Linked DNA regions of Notamacropus eugenii. The protein of the gene in region 2 purifies or fractionates together with the protein of the main gene of each other region. This does not show direct contact. Links are inferred from orthologs where the notes say so. Each region holds a gene or a part of one and is shown on either strand. Other genes may lie near its edges.

The links.
Region 1: the proteins of BACH1 (region 2) and MAFF purify together in Homo sapiens (affinity purification with mass spectrometry; 3 studies listed by BioGRID and IntAct, counting the BioPlex papers as one, with this or other methods). This does not show direct contact. The link is inferred for Notamacropus eugenii from reciprocal best matches to the Homo sapiens genes BACH1 and MAFF.

The regions. Positions count from the first base shown.
Region 1 is NC_092874.1:295,667,132-295,674,943, forward strand, and holds the start of MAFF (transcription factor MafF), read left to right. Parts: upstream 1-4,805; 5' UTR 4,806-5,150; intron 5,151-7,812. UniProt on the Homo sapiens protein: Since they lack a putative transactivation domain, the small Mafs behave as transcriptional repressors when they dimerize among themselves.
Region 2 is NC_092876.1:414,480,198-414,487,755, reverse strand, and holds the start of BACH1 (transcription regulator protein BACH1), read right to left. Parts: upstream 3,021-7,558; 5' UTR 2,888-3,020; intron 1-2,887. UniProt on the Homo sapiens protein: Transcriptional regulator that acts as a repressor or activator, depending on the context. Binds to NF-E2 DNA binding sites. Plays important roles in coordinating transcription activation and repression by MAFK.

The DNA.
Region 1 (7,812 bases), on a different chromosome or scaffold from region 2:
AAGGAAGACAGGTAGAGGGGAAGAGGACTGACTTCAAAGCCATCCACCATCCATCAACCACGGATTAGAGTTGGGAGCACTAGCCAGCATGGACCCAACAGAGATGGCAGAGGGCAAGAGTCTGTTATCTGTGCCACCTTGGGCTTGGCTCATTAACATATCCAAATCATCTCAAAGTTATTGGTAAAGCTTTTAAGTTAACATGACCATTTCATCTCAGAGTTGGATGTTCCCTCGGTCTGGAACTATGGAGGTTTGGGATTTGTCTGGGATTTACACATCATAGGACCAGGAGATCCTGACAAAAGTACCTAGGTGGCTTCCTCTGATTTAGTACATATTACCAGGATGTGAATTCTGGCTAACATATGATACAATTTGCAAATCTTGCTCCTTTGATCTTTGGGATGGTTTTCCGTGACTTCCAGGTTCCCCTTTGCAATCTAATTTCCTGCTTTTGCCCCCTTTATACTAGCTACTTATAAACCTATTATACAGACTAGAAAGGGAGGGAAGGGGGTCAGGGGGATCAGAAGCAATTTTAACACAAAAAGAAACCAGCACATTACAGCTGAGTCTAACGTGAGGTGAAGTGGTTTTTAAATTTTATTTTAATTTTATTGTTATCGTTGACAAATGCCCACAAACAGAGACATTTTGGTCTACAAAGACAGATAGGGAAAGAGAATTGTAGAGGAAGCTATGATTCTCTACTGGGTCCAGTTTGCCTTTTTTGTGTATGTGTGATTTTTGTGTGTATGTGTGTGATTTCAAGGGCATAGGGGACATTCCAGGGAAGGAAATTCCCTCCACCAATGCATGTCTCAGTGACTTGGAGTCTTAGAGAGTTGTTTGGGCCCTGAGAGATTCAGTGATTTGCCCACATCACATAGCCAGGATGTACCAGAGAATTTGAACCCAGGTCCCCCTGACTTTGATGCTTTCTCCCTATCTATTATATCCTGCTGCTTCTCTGCCTTTTTTAAATTATAAAATAAATTGAACACATTAGTTTCAAAGCTTGTTTGTGTTTCTCTCTAAGGCTCTTTCTGTTCACTTCTGTGCATTTTTTTAAATGTTTAATTGACACTGGCTAGGGAGGGTGACTGAATGGGTCTACAGAGGCCATCCATAACATGGAGCATGCTCAGAGCTTCCCTTCCCACTTTGATGTGGGAGCTCCAGGGCTGGCATCTGGCCACATGTATGACTCATTGTAAAAGGGGTCAAATTTGAGATGATGGAGAGTCCCCTAATTGACTGAGTCACAGGAACTGGTGACTTGAAGGAAATCTACCTGACCTTCTATTCCTTTTCAGTTTTGAATCATGCAGGACTGTTTTCACAATTTGTTCTGAGAGTGGGGTTGGGCAAGGAGATAGTACTTCTACCTGCCACCTGACCTCCATGTGGCCCAAGAACATGACCTGCTGAAGCAAGTTTGTACCTGGGTCCAGCTACAATCTTTTATGGATTCATTCCTTTCAGATTCTAGGCCAAAACATAGGGTAACACTATGGGGGTAGCATTTCACCTTGGCTTGTCACTGTCCAAACAACTCCTGATCCTTGATAAAATGGCTAGGCTTGGGTCAGTCCTCTTCTTGGTGGCCATTTTCTGAAAGAGTTCTGGAAGAGTTGCCAAGACTTTTCCCTTTGCTGCCATTCAGCTCCAACCCAAAGAATTCAGGACTTCTTGAACTCAAGAGGTTAAGCCTGAACATATCCATCTCAATAGAGACAGTGTCTACTTACTTGGACCCTCAGGCAACTGTAATCTGACCTGTTGAGTACCCCAAAGTTTTTGTCCTCTGCTCTGAGCTGGATTCTTAAGTGTTATCTCTCCCAATCAGAGTGGGTGGTTTTATCCCTGTTGCTTAGTAAGCACATAGCTAAGTGGTTAATAAATACTTTATTTTCTCATTTATTGCATTCATTCTCTGGAAATCCTGGAAGTTTCCAGGGGAGCTCCCAAAGATACATTCCCTGGAATGGCCTTAAAAACCAATTTAAATGTTTAATGCCAGAAAATTCCAACTGTCTCCATGGTCTTGCATTAGTACCTTTCTCTCTTTGCACTTCAGTTTTATCTGTAGAAGCATGCAGCTGGACAAGATGATCTCTGAGGGGTCATTCTAACTCTGATATTACATGTTCTAAAGGTCCTTCTGGCTCCCACATTCACTGTTCTAAGGTCCTTCCCACCACTGCCAGTCTCTGTTCCAGAGTTTCTCTCAGCTCTGACACTCCATGTTCTATGTTCTAGGGCCCCTCCCAACTCCAAAATTCATGTTTCCAAGAGCTCTCCCAAGTCCAGTAATCCATGAGGCAGTTAGGTGTTGTAGTGTATAGAGTACTGGACCTGGAGTGAGAAAGATCTGAGTTCAAATCTAGCCCCAGACACTTAACAGCTGTTTGACCCTGAGCAAGTCACTTTACCTCTGTCTGCCTCAGATTCCTTTGCTGTAAAATGGTGATACTAGCAGTACCTCACTCCCAGGGTTGTTGTGAAGATCAAAGGAGATACTATGTGCCTGGCACATAGTAGGCGCTGTATAAATGTTATTCCCCCATATTCCAAGGTCCCTTCCCAGCTCTGACAGTCTATAATTCTTCAAACATGTTACAGAGGGTGCTCAGCTGTACAGTTACACACAAAAAGTAATTTCCCAACCTTCTATACATCAAGCTCTCACTTCAGCTACAGACCCAGGAACTGTGTCCTGAGCTCTGTGCTTCAGTTGATACAGAATACAAAGGTGCAAGAAGACCAGCAGCCTCCCCTCTCATCCCTTACAATCTCATCGATTAAAACTGATCATTTGAGGTTGCCTCTGGAGCTAGAAGTTCTCTGCTCTGTCCACAATTCTGCCTCTTGATCCAGGACAGAGGGGATGAACAGAAAACCAAGTGGTTTTGGTAGGTCGCCTGCCTTCCACTTGTATGGCCTTAGAAAAATTCCTTCAACATCAAAACTGATAATTTCAGAGAAACTTGGTAAGACTTCTACGAACAGAGGCAAAGGGCAGTGAGTAGAACCCGAGGTCAGTCTCCTTCTATGCCATTTGGACTGATGATCTCATCAGATCCCCTGGTTTCAATGATCACTGCCATGCAGATGACTCTCATTCTCCCAATCTAGGAGTCATCTGGAACTCCTCAGTCCCTCTCTTACCTCCCACATCCAATCTACTGCCAAGTCCTGTCAATTTCATTTTAGCAATGTCTCTCCCTTCCCTCCTCTAATGTTGACCCTCATCACCTCCCCTCTGAATCATTGCAGTAACCTTCTTGTTGGTTTTCTTGCTGCAAGGATCTCAGAACTCCACTCAGCTTCCAGAGATTTTCCTAAAGCATAGATTGGACCACATCATTCCGCTACTCAGTAAACTTCAGTGGCCCCCACTTGCCTCCAGGGTCAGATCAAAAAAAGAGACTAAAAACAGGCTGCTGTATTAACAACATGGGGGCGGGGATGCGGCTAGCACTAGTTCTTTGATCTGCTTTTCTAAAGAAAAGACAACTTTAAAGGGGTGAACAATCTTACTTTAATTACAGTTAAGTAGAAAGAAGTGAGTATAGAAAATACAAGCAGGATTAGCACAGAGATTCAACGCACAGGGCTCCAGCTGTTTCAACAAAAGTAATACAACCACCTACATACACCAGCAGATGGGAGAGCACCAACATCTGACTAGTGGGGAGGTGGGGCTCTTAACAAAGGTCTACTCAGAGTCCCATCCAGGGAACGAAAAGATCCTTCTCATGAGCAAACCCCCATAGCAAAATGCCAACCTCCTAGGATATATAACAAAGACTCTACCCCAGATAAGCTCACAACAAGAAGGCATGGAAATGTGTATGACTCAGCACAGCTGTGAATTATCAGGGTTCAAAGGCGATTAATCCTTCAGATGTTTACAATTTAGCCTCAGCCTAGAAACCTGAACTCCAGAAAAAACAACAAAAAATCCCACTTTGCTCATGCTTACCAGCTGTCCATGCTCTGACAGAGAGGTGGTGAACTCAAGGTGCAGAATGAGACACATTTTGGGACATACCTGGTCAATATGGAGATTCGTGTTGCTTAGTTATATTTGACACAAACATATTGCTTTTCTTTCAGTTTGGAAGGAGAGTTTGGATGGGGGTGGTTTAGATAATGGGAAAGTCTGGCAGTAGTTTTACAACAAATGAAGAAAAATGTAAGGAAAGAGCCAAGTTGCAAGGACTTCAACTGTACAGAAGGCTTGTCAGTAGGAAACAGAGAAACCAGACAGCTTTGAAAAGGACCTGTCGGATTTGTCGATGTTGGGAGAAAGGAGCAAGCTGTCATGTGATCCTTTCTTTTTCCTGTTCTTTGTATGCATATGGTATTTGATGTTTGTCAAATTCAGAATAAAATGAAATAAAAAAGAAGCCTCGACTCTCTGGGCCTCAGTTTCCACATCTGCAAAGATGCGGAGGCCGACATGGACTATATCCAAAGGTTCCTGTCAGCTCTACATTTGAGATGCCATGGGCTTGGCCAAGTGTCTTCTTTGAATGTTCCCACCGATAAAAGCTGTGGCCTTGTTCTAGATCTTTAAGGCTCCTTTCAGCTGTGACTCCTGCTTGGAGTCCATGAAAGAGGCTGCACGCCCACTCCCGCCCCGACTCTTTAAGCTGAGTGTGGTATTTCCCTCCTTTTGCCCCAGTTCCGCGGTGCCCCTCACCAAGATGACCACTGTTTCCCCCTCCCACCGAGCCGGCAAGAAACAGGCGGGGCTCCTGAGCCAGCTCCGCCTCGTCCCTCCCCCCGGGGGTAGTGGGGCTGGAACAGAGGCGGCGAAGGGTGACATCAGCGCATGACTGTGTTTTTATGAATGAAAGGAATCCTGTGAGTGAGTAATTCCAGGAAACTCACATTACAACTCAGCAGATTGCTGCCTTCGCCGCTGTCGCTCGCGCCTCCCCGCCAGCAGGCTGCCTCCACTCTTGGCTGCCCGAGCCCGAGTGCTAACCCGGAGCACGGCTCCCGGGAGGCGGCGGCTGGAGGCTAAAGGGGGACCCACTACCTAGGACGGCGGAGGAAGAGAAAGAGAGGGAGAGGAGAGGAGAAGGGAGAAGGGGAAGGAGGGAGAAACTCCTCGACAGAGCAGGAGAACCAGGGTGAGTACGCGCGGACGAGGCCGCCTCCCTGGGGGCCTTCAAGGTTGGGGGGCTTTGGGTCTGCCTTTCCGCTGTCCGGCTGTTGCCTTGCACCCCACAGTGACCCCCTTCTATCCCTTTCTGTCCTCTTTTTGCCCCCTCGCCGATCTTGGGTTGCTGGAAGCTTGGGAGGGGAGCGCTGGACAGGGATCGTGTGTGTGTGTGTGTGTGTGTGTGTGTGTGTGTGTGTGTGTGTGTGTGTGTGTGTGTGTGTGTGTGTGTGTGTGTGTGTGTGTGTGATTGTCTACCTGTCTGTCTGTTCTACTCTCGTCCCGGAAGGTTAGGCATGGTAGGAGGCCGGGAGGATCGGAATTCTTCGGTTGTCTGTCCCTTCTCAGAGGAGAAGGGGGTTCACTGAGCTAGAAGCGTTGGGAGGCACTTGCTGGGTGGGGTGTGGAGTGTACAGGGGGTGGGGGTGGGCTTCAGAATCGCCCCCAGTTCCCAGTCGGGAGCAGGGGAAGGGTGTCTGATTGTCTTCCCCACTCCCGGACTAAAGGTACTTCTCAGAAGTTGGGAGAACTGAAAGTGAAGGTGCTTGTCCCACCTACCTCCCACCGTAGGGGGATGGAAGGCAAGGTGGAGTGTTTGTCTCCCCCCACCCCACCCGAGTCTGAGCCAGAGGAGACCTCGTTGAGGTCCTGGAAGGAGAGTTTGTCTGTCTATTCCTTCCCGCCCCTCGCCAGTGTTAAAAGGCTAGCTAGCTGTGGAAGGGGAGGTGCGGTCCGACGTTCCTGACTGTGGGGCCAGGAAGACAGACTTGGAAGTGGCGGAAGAAGCAGCAGCACGCCCCCTCCCCAGCCCCCATAAGCCATCCCTTTGGGCCCACGAGCGGGGCGGGTGGGAAGCCAGGGGAGCCACACTGGGCGCCCGTACGGCGGGTGTGCGTGCGTGCGTGACCCAATGTGTACATTCCGTTTGTTGTTCGTGTGTGTGTGTGTGTGGTGTGTGTGTGTGTGTGTGTGTGTGTGTGTGTGTGTGTGTGTGTGTGTGTGTGTGTGTGTACACACTTGCGCACGCAAACACGGATTAGCTCAGCCAGGAGGAGGAGGAAGTCAGTGGGCCGGCCCCAGGCGCCTGGGGGAGCGTCCTGTCCCGCCCCGGCTCAGGCTGGGGCCAGGGTCTCCTGGTTTCCCTCCTTCCCTTTCCCCTGGCCCTGACCTTGGTGTTTCCCTGCTCTCCTCCCCGTGCAGGGTTCCTTTAGGATGTTTGTGCCCCTAAATGTCCATCCAGGATGGATGATAGAGATCAGAGAGGCCAAGGGGCTTCTCCAAGGTCACCCAGCTAATTAGGTAGCTTGGGCAGAATTCCCATTCAGACTTCAAACCAGTGTGCTCTTCGAGGACTGCCCAGAGCTGCACCCAGGGAGGACTGGGGGGTTACAAGGACCCATTAGACCCATCTCTCTTTCAACACCACCTCAAAGCCTTAGGGAGAGAATTTGGGTCAGCCCCCAGATCCTCCCACTTGGCCTGATGGATCAGGAAACACTTGTCTAAGACCCTGAGAGTTCACACCTCCTAGGCTTGGCACCTAGCCCACCTGTACTTAGAGATGATTTAGAGCTGGCCAGGACCTCAGAGGTCATCTGATCCAACCTCCTCATTTTATGGATGGAGAAGTTGAGGCCCAGAAAGGGGGGCCTGCCCAAGGTCACAAGCTGCAGAGCTGGTATTCCAACGCCCTCATTCCACAGAGAGGAAGTAGCTGACTCCAGGTCACAGCAACAAAAGCTGCAATGAAACCCAGGGCTTTTGGGGCCCAGGCTTTCCCCCAGTGTGCAGGTGTTAGCTGCTGCTGGGTTCTGGTAGGGACAAGCAAGGGGCCCCACAGAGAGAGAGGAAGAAGTCAGAACCCTAGAGCTGAAAGCTCCATGTTCAAAGGTGCACTGGCTGGTGGAGTCCCCACCCAGGGACACTGAGATTCAGAGTATACACATCTTGCTGTGTCCTATGCCATGGAGGGGGGTGGGAAGCAGGAGGGGAAAGCAGATAGGGAGTGAAGGGATTAATGTGTATGTGAGGAGGTAGGGGGAGGGGAGAGGAGCCTCAGAAGCTATCCCCTCCAAAAAAACGTTAAAGGAACCAGGATGCACCTGTTTCTGCACCAGTGTTCTGAAGAGCCCCACCTAGGGATTGCTGGGTCATTAGCACCCCCCATCCCTGGCATCTGTAGATCCAAGTCTCCAGCTCCTTCCATTTCCCGTGCATTGTAAAACAATACTCTTCTCCTAAGCATGTCTGCCTGCCCCCTCTTCCTCACCTTACCACAGACTGACCTGAAGAGGGGACAGCCAGGCCTAATAAAGGCAATCCCTAAGCTTTGAGATCTTAGGCTTACTGGAAGAGCTGGGTACTGTGCCCCTAGACCTTGGCATTGTAATTATAGAACCTCAGAGGTTAGCTCAACTACTTGACTTCACTGCAGAAGCTAGGGCTGAGGGGTTAAATGCTCATCTACAGTAAGGGGCAAAACCAGATTTTGAACTAGGGTCTGGTGACTCCAAGATTGATGATCTTTGGAGGAAGACAGTCATGCTCTTTGAATAGCTGAAACATAGTTGGAGAGGGGGTGGGGGCAGAGATTCTATTTACTGTGTGGTTCTGAGAGCAGTGCCAGATGGCTT
Region 2 (7,558 bases):
ATAAATATATATGTGTGTGTGTGTATGCATATACAAAATCATAAACATGATTGCACATCCCAGAGCTTCCAGGTTAAAGAGAATACCAAGATCCCACTGTACTCAAAAGGGATCTTGACAATCTCGCAACAAGATACACCCTTACAAACTGCCTGCACTGTCAAACACAGACCTTAACATCATACAAAATTCCTTGAAAGATTCAAGATGGGTAATTTTGATCAACAACTATCAGTGACCTATTATTACCACCTAAGGTATCTGCCACAATTATAGAGGATGTACAAGAAAGAAATGAAACACAAGATGAAATTTCCTCTTTCCAAGTATTCTTATTTTTATATACCATTGTGATTAAATGAAGCCCTAAAATACTACACAGTCTCCTGAGACCTCTAATCACTCAAAATAGCTGACTGTAATCATGTAGGGAAAGGAAAAGGAAAAGGACAGGAGAAAGGAAAGGAGAAAGGATAGGAGAAAGGACAGGAGAAAAGACAGGACAGGACAGGACAGGACAGGACAGGACAGGACAGGAAAGGAAAGGAAAGGAAAGGAAAGGTTTTCTATTGTCCAGACGGTGGCATGCAGCTGAATGGAAGAAAATCACCTAAATGAGATCCAAAAGCAGAATGATGTTTTTTCCCATTCAAAGCAATACTGGCTTGGTGATACTCTTGTTGAAAGCTATTAGCAACACTATCACTACCACTATTCACCAAGAGAAGAGGAAAAATAGACAGAATTTCCTAAGGAAGCTATTAAAGAGTATGTAGTAGCTATAATTCTGCTCCCAGGTATATCTGGAGCAGTGTGGTAGGCACAGCACAATTTATTTATGAAAAGTCTTGGGAGTGGAAGTGGGGGGTGAAGAGATATGTCACATCTCACTACCCTCATAAAGAGACCAATTTCTTTATTTAAAACACAAAATACTTAAAAAAAAAAAAACAACCCTTCAGATGCTAAAAAAACAAACAGGACAGTTTTTTAAGTGCTGGCAATATAAATTCAAATAGAAAAGACTCTCCTTTCTGATTACATTCTAATTGGGGAAGGCAACACATCAAAAGAAGCTAAAGAGAAGGGGAGAGGCGAGAGAAAGAAGAGGAAAGACAGAGACACAGAATGAGTGAGAAGGTCCAGAAAGCCCAGAGCAGCCTGGAGAGTGATGAAACATGTGTGTGCCTTCCAGGGCTGGAGTAAAGCTTCAGGATGAAGTGCTGTAACTTGGAAGAGGAATTCCAGAACCGCTGCCTAGACAGGAAAAGCTCAGGTTCCAACCATTTGGTCAAAAGCATTACCCTACAAATTTCAGTTATTTCTACAGGTTGGGCACTCTTTCAGTCTGTGGGCTATTAAGTAACCTAGGGCCAGAGCAGCAGTATTTAAATACCAGACTGACACTTTCTGACTTACTTACCAGGAACCACAAAGTTTTAATTGGCCAAATCCTCGGGCACTACAACCACTCACCTCTTCTCTCGCTCCGGTTTGCCTTTTATAGTGGAGCCATGTAAGCCCCAGCTGTTTCTAATTACCTCTCAGGCTCTTCCTGGGTGAATGACTCAGCAACCTGACTTTAAAGGAGCCAAAGTATTTTCTAACACAATCTACGGGTTAACCAATATTGACAATGAAACACGTTGGGTGCTTTTTTTTTTTTTAAAGTAACTTTACCGGATAATAGAGCTAGAAAAGAAACTGAGGCCCCAAAAGAATTAAATAGTTTTGTCCAAGGTCACAAAGAGAGGAAGTCGCAGAGCCATTTTTCTATAAACTCAATTCCTCTTTTTCCAAAGTCAGCACACTTTCCACTGCACCAAGAAGAAAGATGATTTGTTCACAATACTTTCCTACTGCAATCAAGCTTCCTTCTTCAACAGTCCTCCAGATTGCTCCTAAACATGCTGACCTGAGGAAATCCTGTTTTTCTATACCTATATTTCTATATCTAATCCACAGTATTCTATATTTACTATACTATATGTAGTATTACAAGGCTTTTCAGGAAATCCTGCTTTTCTATGTCTATATTTCTATATCTAATCCACAGTATTCTATATTTACTATACTATATGTACTACTATAAGACTTAACAGGAAATCCCGTTTTTCTACATCGAGCAGTCCCTACGTATTGATCATCAATCAGTCCGATGAGGAGCATTATTTGCCACCAATCTGTCCCTACATGTGCCGCTTATAGCTTTTAGTTACTCGGCGTTACATTAAAATTGCGCGATCCCACCGCGAGAGAGATCAGTGCACAACACGGGCATTCACATTTTCTTTGGAAATCGCGGGATTTCCGAGGGCTCCCACGACGACTTTTCCACGCCGCGGGCCCGGCCCGGCCCAAACTTAGATGTCTTACGAGCACGGGCCATTACCTCTCGGCACCAAGCGCTCCCCAACGCCGCCCGCCCAGCCCGACGCTCCCCAGACGAACGCCGAGGGAGCTGACAGAGTGATTTTTACTACATGAGTAAGTTGTGATGCATCCGAGTTGTGGATTCCCGGAAAAAGAGGACCTTCAGATAAACGGAAGGCGGCCGCACGTTTGCGGGGAACCCCGCGTCTCACACCCCACTTCCATCGGAGGGGCGGATCCTTCGGGGGGGCGAGGGGCTTCTAAGGACATTTTGAATGCTCACAGGTTTAAAAACACATTTCAAACCGACGGATTTACGCCGGGGCGGAAAGTCAAGCCGCCCACGGCCTGGGCACCAGGGCACCCCCCAAAAGACCGGGCTAAGGGCAGAGCCCAGCGGGGGGGCGCGGGGACCAAAGGGCGCCCAGGCCGCCCGCTCCTCCCCCGCCCCTGCTGCGCGCGCCCCTCCCCCAAGGGCGCAGACCCACCGGCCTCCCCACTCCGCTCTACTCACCCCCGACTGCTACACGGGGCCCGGGGTCGGGGGGTGGGGGCCGTCGCTTCCCGCGGACGAACAGGGACGCGGATATTCGGGAGACGGGGTCAGAATCTACGGGCGAGTGACCGAGCCCCAGAAGGAAAGCGATCAGGTGACTGTTTGTCTCTCAGTTCTTTCTCTCCTCTCACCGGCCCCCCCCAGCCCCGCCTCTCCCCTCCTCGGCCTGGCTCGCGGTCCCGCCCCCTTTCGTTCTCGCTAACGATTGGCCCGCGAGGCCTGTTGGAACACGTCAGTCCCGGCCCCTGGAAAAGCGGCTGGTAGGAAGAAAAGAAGGGGTGGAGTTCGGGGCTGGGAAGGAGCGGGGCTCTCGGAACGGGCGAGCCCTTCTCTCTATTGTGGTCCTTGCCCCTGCCTGAGGGCTTGTGTGTAGGACTATGAATTAAGAAACGAAACGAGAAGTTAAAAGGCCAGAAGAACGCATGATTTCCAGGGAAAAGAGAGAGGAGGTGGAGAAGGAATGGCCAGCTTTCCTGGCCCTTAACTCACCCTATAGCATTATTTGCTTAAAGTGGAAAAGGAACCTAAGTTGTGGAACCAATCAATCCGTATCTCACGGATTTATACTCTTAAAAACTGAAGCCTGACATTCGGGACTGAGAAGCCTGGCAAAAGGCACTAATGAAATGATTAGACCCTGCTTCCTCCCTGGCTGGTCTGAACAAGGAAGACACGCGTATCTGCCCACAGGTGACTTCAACGTGTGACTAGCGGAGGAGTAAAAATTATTTCCAAGGAGGAGAAAATAGGGAAAGACCGTCTTTAAAACCTCCCCGTTTTCTACTTAAGAAAAATCACATTGGGGAAAGTAAAACGGATAATGAATGGAACACTGGAAGAGGCTGCAAATCCTAGAAGACAATCCCCAAAGAATCAAATGTACAGGTAACCCAAAGGGTAATTAATGGCATTGATACAGTGTCTTTTAGTTTGCAGAAGAGACAAACTCAGAACGGTTAATGACTTGTGGATGGTCTTATAGCTATAAGTATCAGAGGCAGAAATGAAACTTACATCTTCTGGGCTCTAGGTTCAACATGCTTTCCAGTACAGCCCTGGTGCCTCTGAAAGATGCTTGGCTACCAACCAAAATGAACAGGTTCCAAAAACTGCCACTTTGGATGAATGAGATGATGCCAAGCGGTGACGAAGAGAAGGCAGAGCTCTTCAGATTTTTCTGAGTGATTCTCGGATTAAAGGACAAAATAAGATATCCGTGTAGATATTAAGGAAATTGTAAGGGAGCCCTAGTTGCTGGTAATGAATTGAAGTCACCTAGTCCAGGTAAAACTATATCACCAGGCGTTTCCTTCTCAGAGGTTAAGTGACTTGCCCCCATCACACAGCTAATTCATGTCCAAATCCAGATTTGAACTCAAATCTTTCTGACTCTGGGCCCCACTGTCTATCCACTGAACCACCTTGCTCAGGAGGACAGCACCTCTGGCATGAGGGTTTGCAGAGCCTTTATCAGGACTGCTTTCCACCTTTGCTGTCTACCTGATTCACCCAATTCCTACTTGTGGCTCCAAGAAGCTGCAGCATCTGCGGCAGCCACACCTAAATAAACCTCATGGGAAGACAGACCCAACCAGATTAAAGGTACCCATCATGAGTTAAGGGGATGTCCCCCCCCCCCAAGCCTGTGAAGACTTCCCTTGGCACAGTGGAAGGATGAAAACAATTTGCTCCAAAGTCCATGAAGGTGGCTGAAGCAAGCATCATGGAATGGTTAGAGCTTGGTTAGATATTGAAGATGCCAAGGCCATCACCAGTCATCTTGACTTTGTCTTGCTACTAGACTCCAAAGATTGTGGAAGAGAAAGTGAGGCTGACTGCTTTGTGCAGCTCTGCCTCTCTTAAATCCAATTTATCCACAAGTCAAGATACCATCTATGATATCAGTGGTCCTCTTCAGAAATGAAGGACAAACAGTATCCTCAGGCATATGTGATTTCTAGACCAGTTTAAGTTCATTGTTGAATGTTAGTGATGGAATCCTAATAAAGATAGGTCCCACTGCCCCTACCTAGCCATTACTCTCCCGTCTCAATATCCTAACTTCCTCATATAGGGCTCACTGCTCACTAGAATAACAAGTATGTCCATGAACTCTTATTTCCCACAGAAACAGCAGGCATATCCATGTAATGGAATCCCAGCCACTGCCTCTAGCTAGCCACTGTCCCCAGAACCATTCCTCATATTTCCCATAGAAACAGCACATATGTCCATGCACTGTACCACAGTCACATCCATCTAGGACCACAGTACTCAGCCAATCAGAAAGAAACACCATCAGGATGCCCAAGCAGGATGTAGACCCCAAAACAATAGCAGGGACTTTCCTTAAGTAGGTACCTTTGTTTTACATTTTCTTGATTTTTCATAAAATTATTAGCTTCCATCTGCTCCATTCTAATCTTTAAAGAATCATTTTCCATCTGGCCAGTTCTGTTTTTTAAGACATTCTTCTCCTTTGGCTTTTTGGATCTCTTCTGTCATTTGGGTTAGTCTATTTTTTTCAGTGTTATTTTCTTCAGCATTTTTTGGGGTCTCCTTTAGCAAGCAGTTGACTCGTTTTTCATGATTTTCTTGCATCATTCTTATTTTTCTTCCCAATTTTTGCTCTACTTTTCTTACTTGATTTTCAAAATCCTTTTGGAGCTCTTCCATGGGCTGAGACCAATTCACATTTTTCTTGTGGAGGCTTTAGGTGTAGGCGCTTTGACTTTGTTGTCTTCTGTTTCTATATTTTGTTCTTCCTTGTCACCAAAGTAAGATTCTATATAGTCTGATTCTTTTTCCAATTTTTGCTCATTTCCCCAGCCATTTACTTGACTTTTAAGATCTTTGTCAAGGTAGTTTTCTGTTCCAGTGCGGGGAGGGAAGGTACTGTCAGCCACTGGATCCTCTGCAATCTGTGGGCCTAGAACTCCAGAAATCGCTGCTGCTGCTGTCCCTGCCCCTGCTGCAGCTGGGCCTGGGGTCGGACCACTCTGTTCTCTCACACAGGTCCCACAGGTTTTTCCTACTGACCTTCTAATTTGTCCTTGGTGTTTTGGGGTTTTGAAGTCTGGAAACCACCACAGGTGCCCAAGATTCAGTCCTCTCCCTCCCAGGCCTGCTCAGGTCACATCTGTGCCAGGGTGGCCCACCCTGTATTGCGCTCTGCTCCCAGCCCAGCTTGATAGATGCTTCCCATCCACCTTCCAGGTTGTCTTGGGCTGGAGATTTGCTTCACTCCATCATTCTGTGGGTTCTGCAACTCCAGAATTTGTTTAGAGTCATTTTTTTACAGGTATTTGGCTGGACTTGGGGGAAGAGCTGTAGCAAGTCTGTGCTTTTACTCTGCCATCTTGGCTTTACCCCCTGACCAAGTAGGCACCTTTGAAGCAATAGCAAAAGCTGTCCCTTAGGCAAATTCCCTTACCATTACAGATGGTTCTACCACAACACATCATGAAACTGTAACATTAGGAATACTGAAACTAGAAGAAAAATTTCAGTGAAATCAATGTGTAATCTTTTTTAGTATACATGTAGTACTGCCAGTAATTTACCGCCAGCTTTATATCATACTTACTGATATATGGGCAACAGCCATGCTTATCCATTGGATCATGCTTTGGTGTCTCAGAAAATGAGAAGAAGGATTTAAATACTCAAAGCCAGCACATCTTACAGCTTAGAAAATATATTGCCAAATATACTGTACTTGGAGGGAGCTAAGTGGCTCAGTGGATAGAGCACTGGGCTTGGAGTCAGAAAGACACTGGAGAACCTAGAAGTGGCAATGGACAGCAAGAAGCATTTCAACTCTTCCACTTGGATTCGTTAATCAAGGGGAATGAGTGAAAATATGACTAGGGTACTGGATCTGGGAAGGTGTGTCATTAGGAGACAGCCAGGTCTCAGTCAGTGAGAGCCAAAATATGGAAAGAATGGGAAAGGAAAAGATTTGCACTGAAGCAAGTTTATTGCATATGGGATAAATAAACATTATAGAGGACATGCTGGAAAGGATGTGTATTCTGTTTTTTTTTTTTTAAGTTTAATTTTCTCATTTATTTTTTCTAATTAATTTGTTTTCAGTTTTCAGCAATCACATTCATAAGTTTTAAATTTTCTCCTCCTCCTTACTCCCTCCCTCTCCACAACAGCATGTAATCTACTCAAGTATCTTTGCCAAGAAAACCTCATGGACAGTATTGGTGTGTTATCGTCCACAGGATCACAAAGAGTTGAAAATGACTGTACAACCATCCTGTTCCTGGTTTACAATAAAAGATTATTGGCCACAAGGAATGTAACTCATGTTTTAACTCATGTTTTACCATGCCCATGGGGAGCAGAGTCTTGGGAGAGGCCACTGACATTCTTATGAGGACAGACTTACTCAATTCACTGTGGATCGCTTTCATTGGACAACAATAGGTCCCTGCCCTGCCAAAGCACCACTAATGGCTATATTTTGGACCCTCCTGGCCCAGAGTGAATGTCCATGGTAATTGTTTCTCTTTTGGCCAGCAACCCTGAGGGTCTTTCCCTCCCAGTTTGATTTTTTTTTTTTTATTAAAAGGTCCATCCCTTGATTCACTTCTTAAAGAGTCCTATTCACTGAATGGA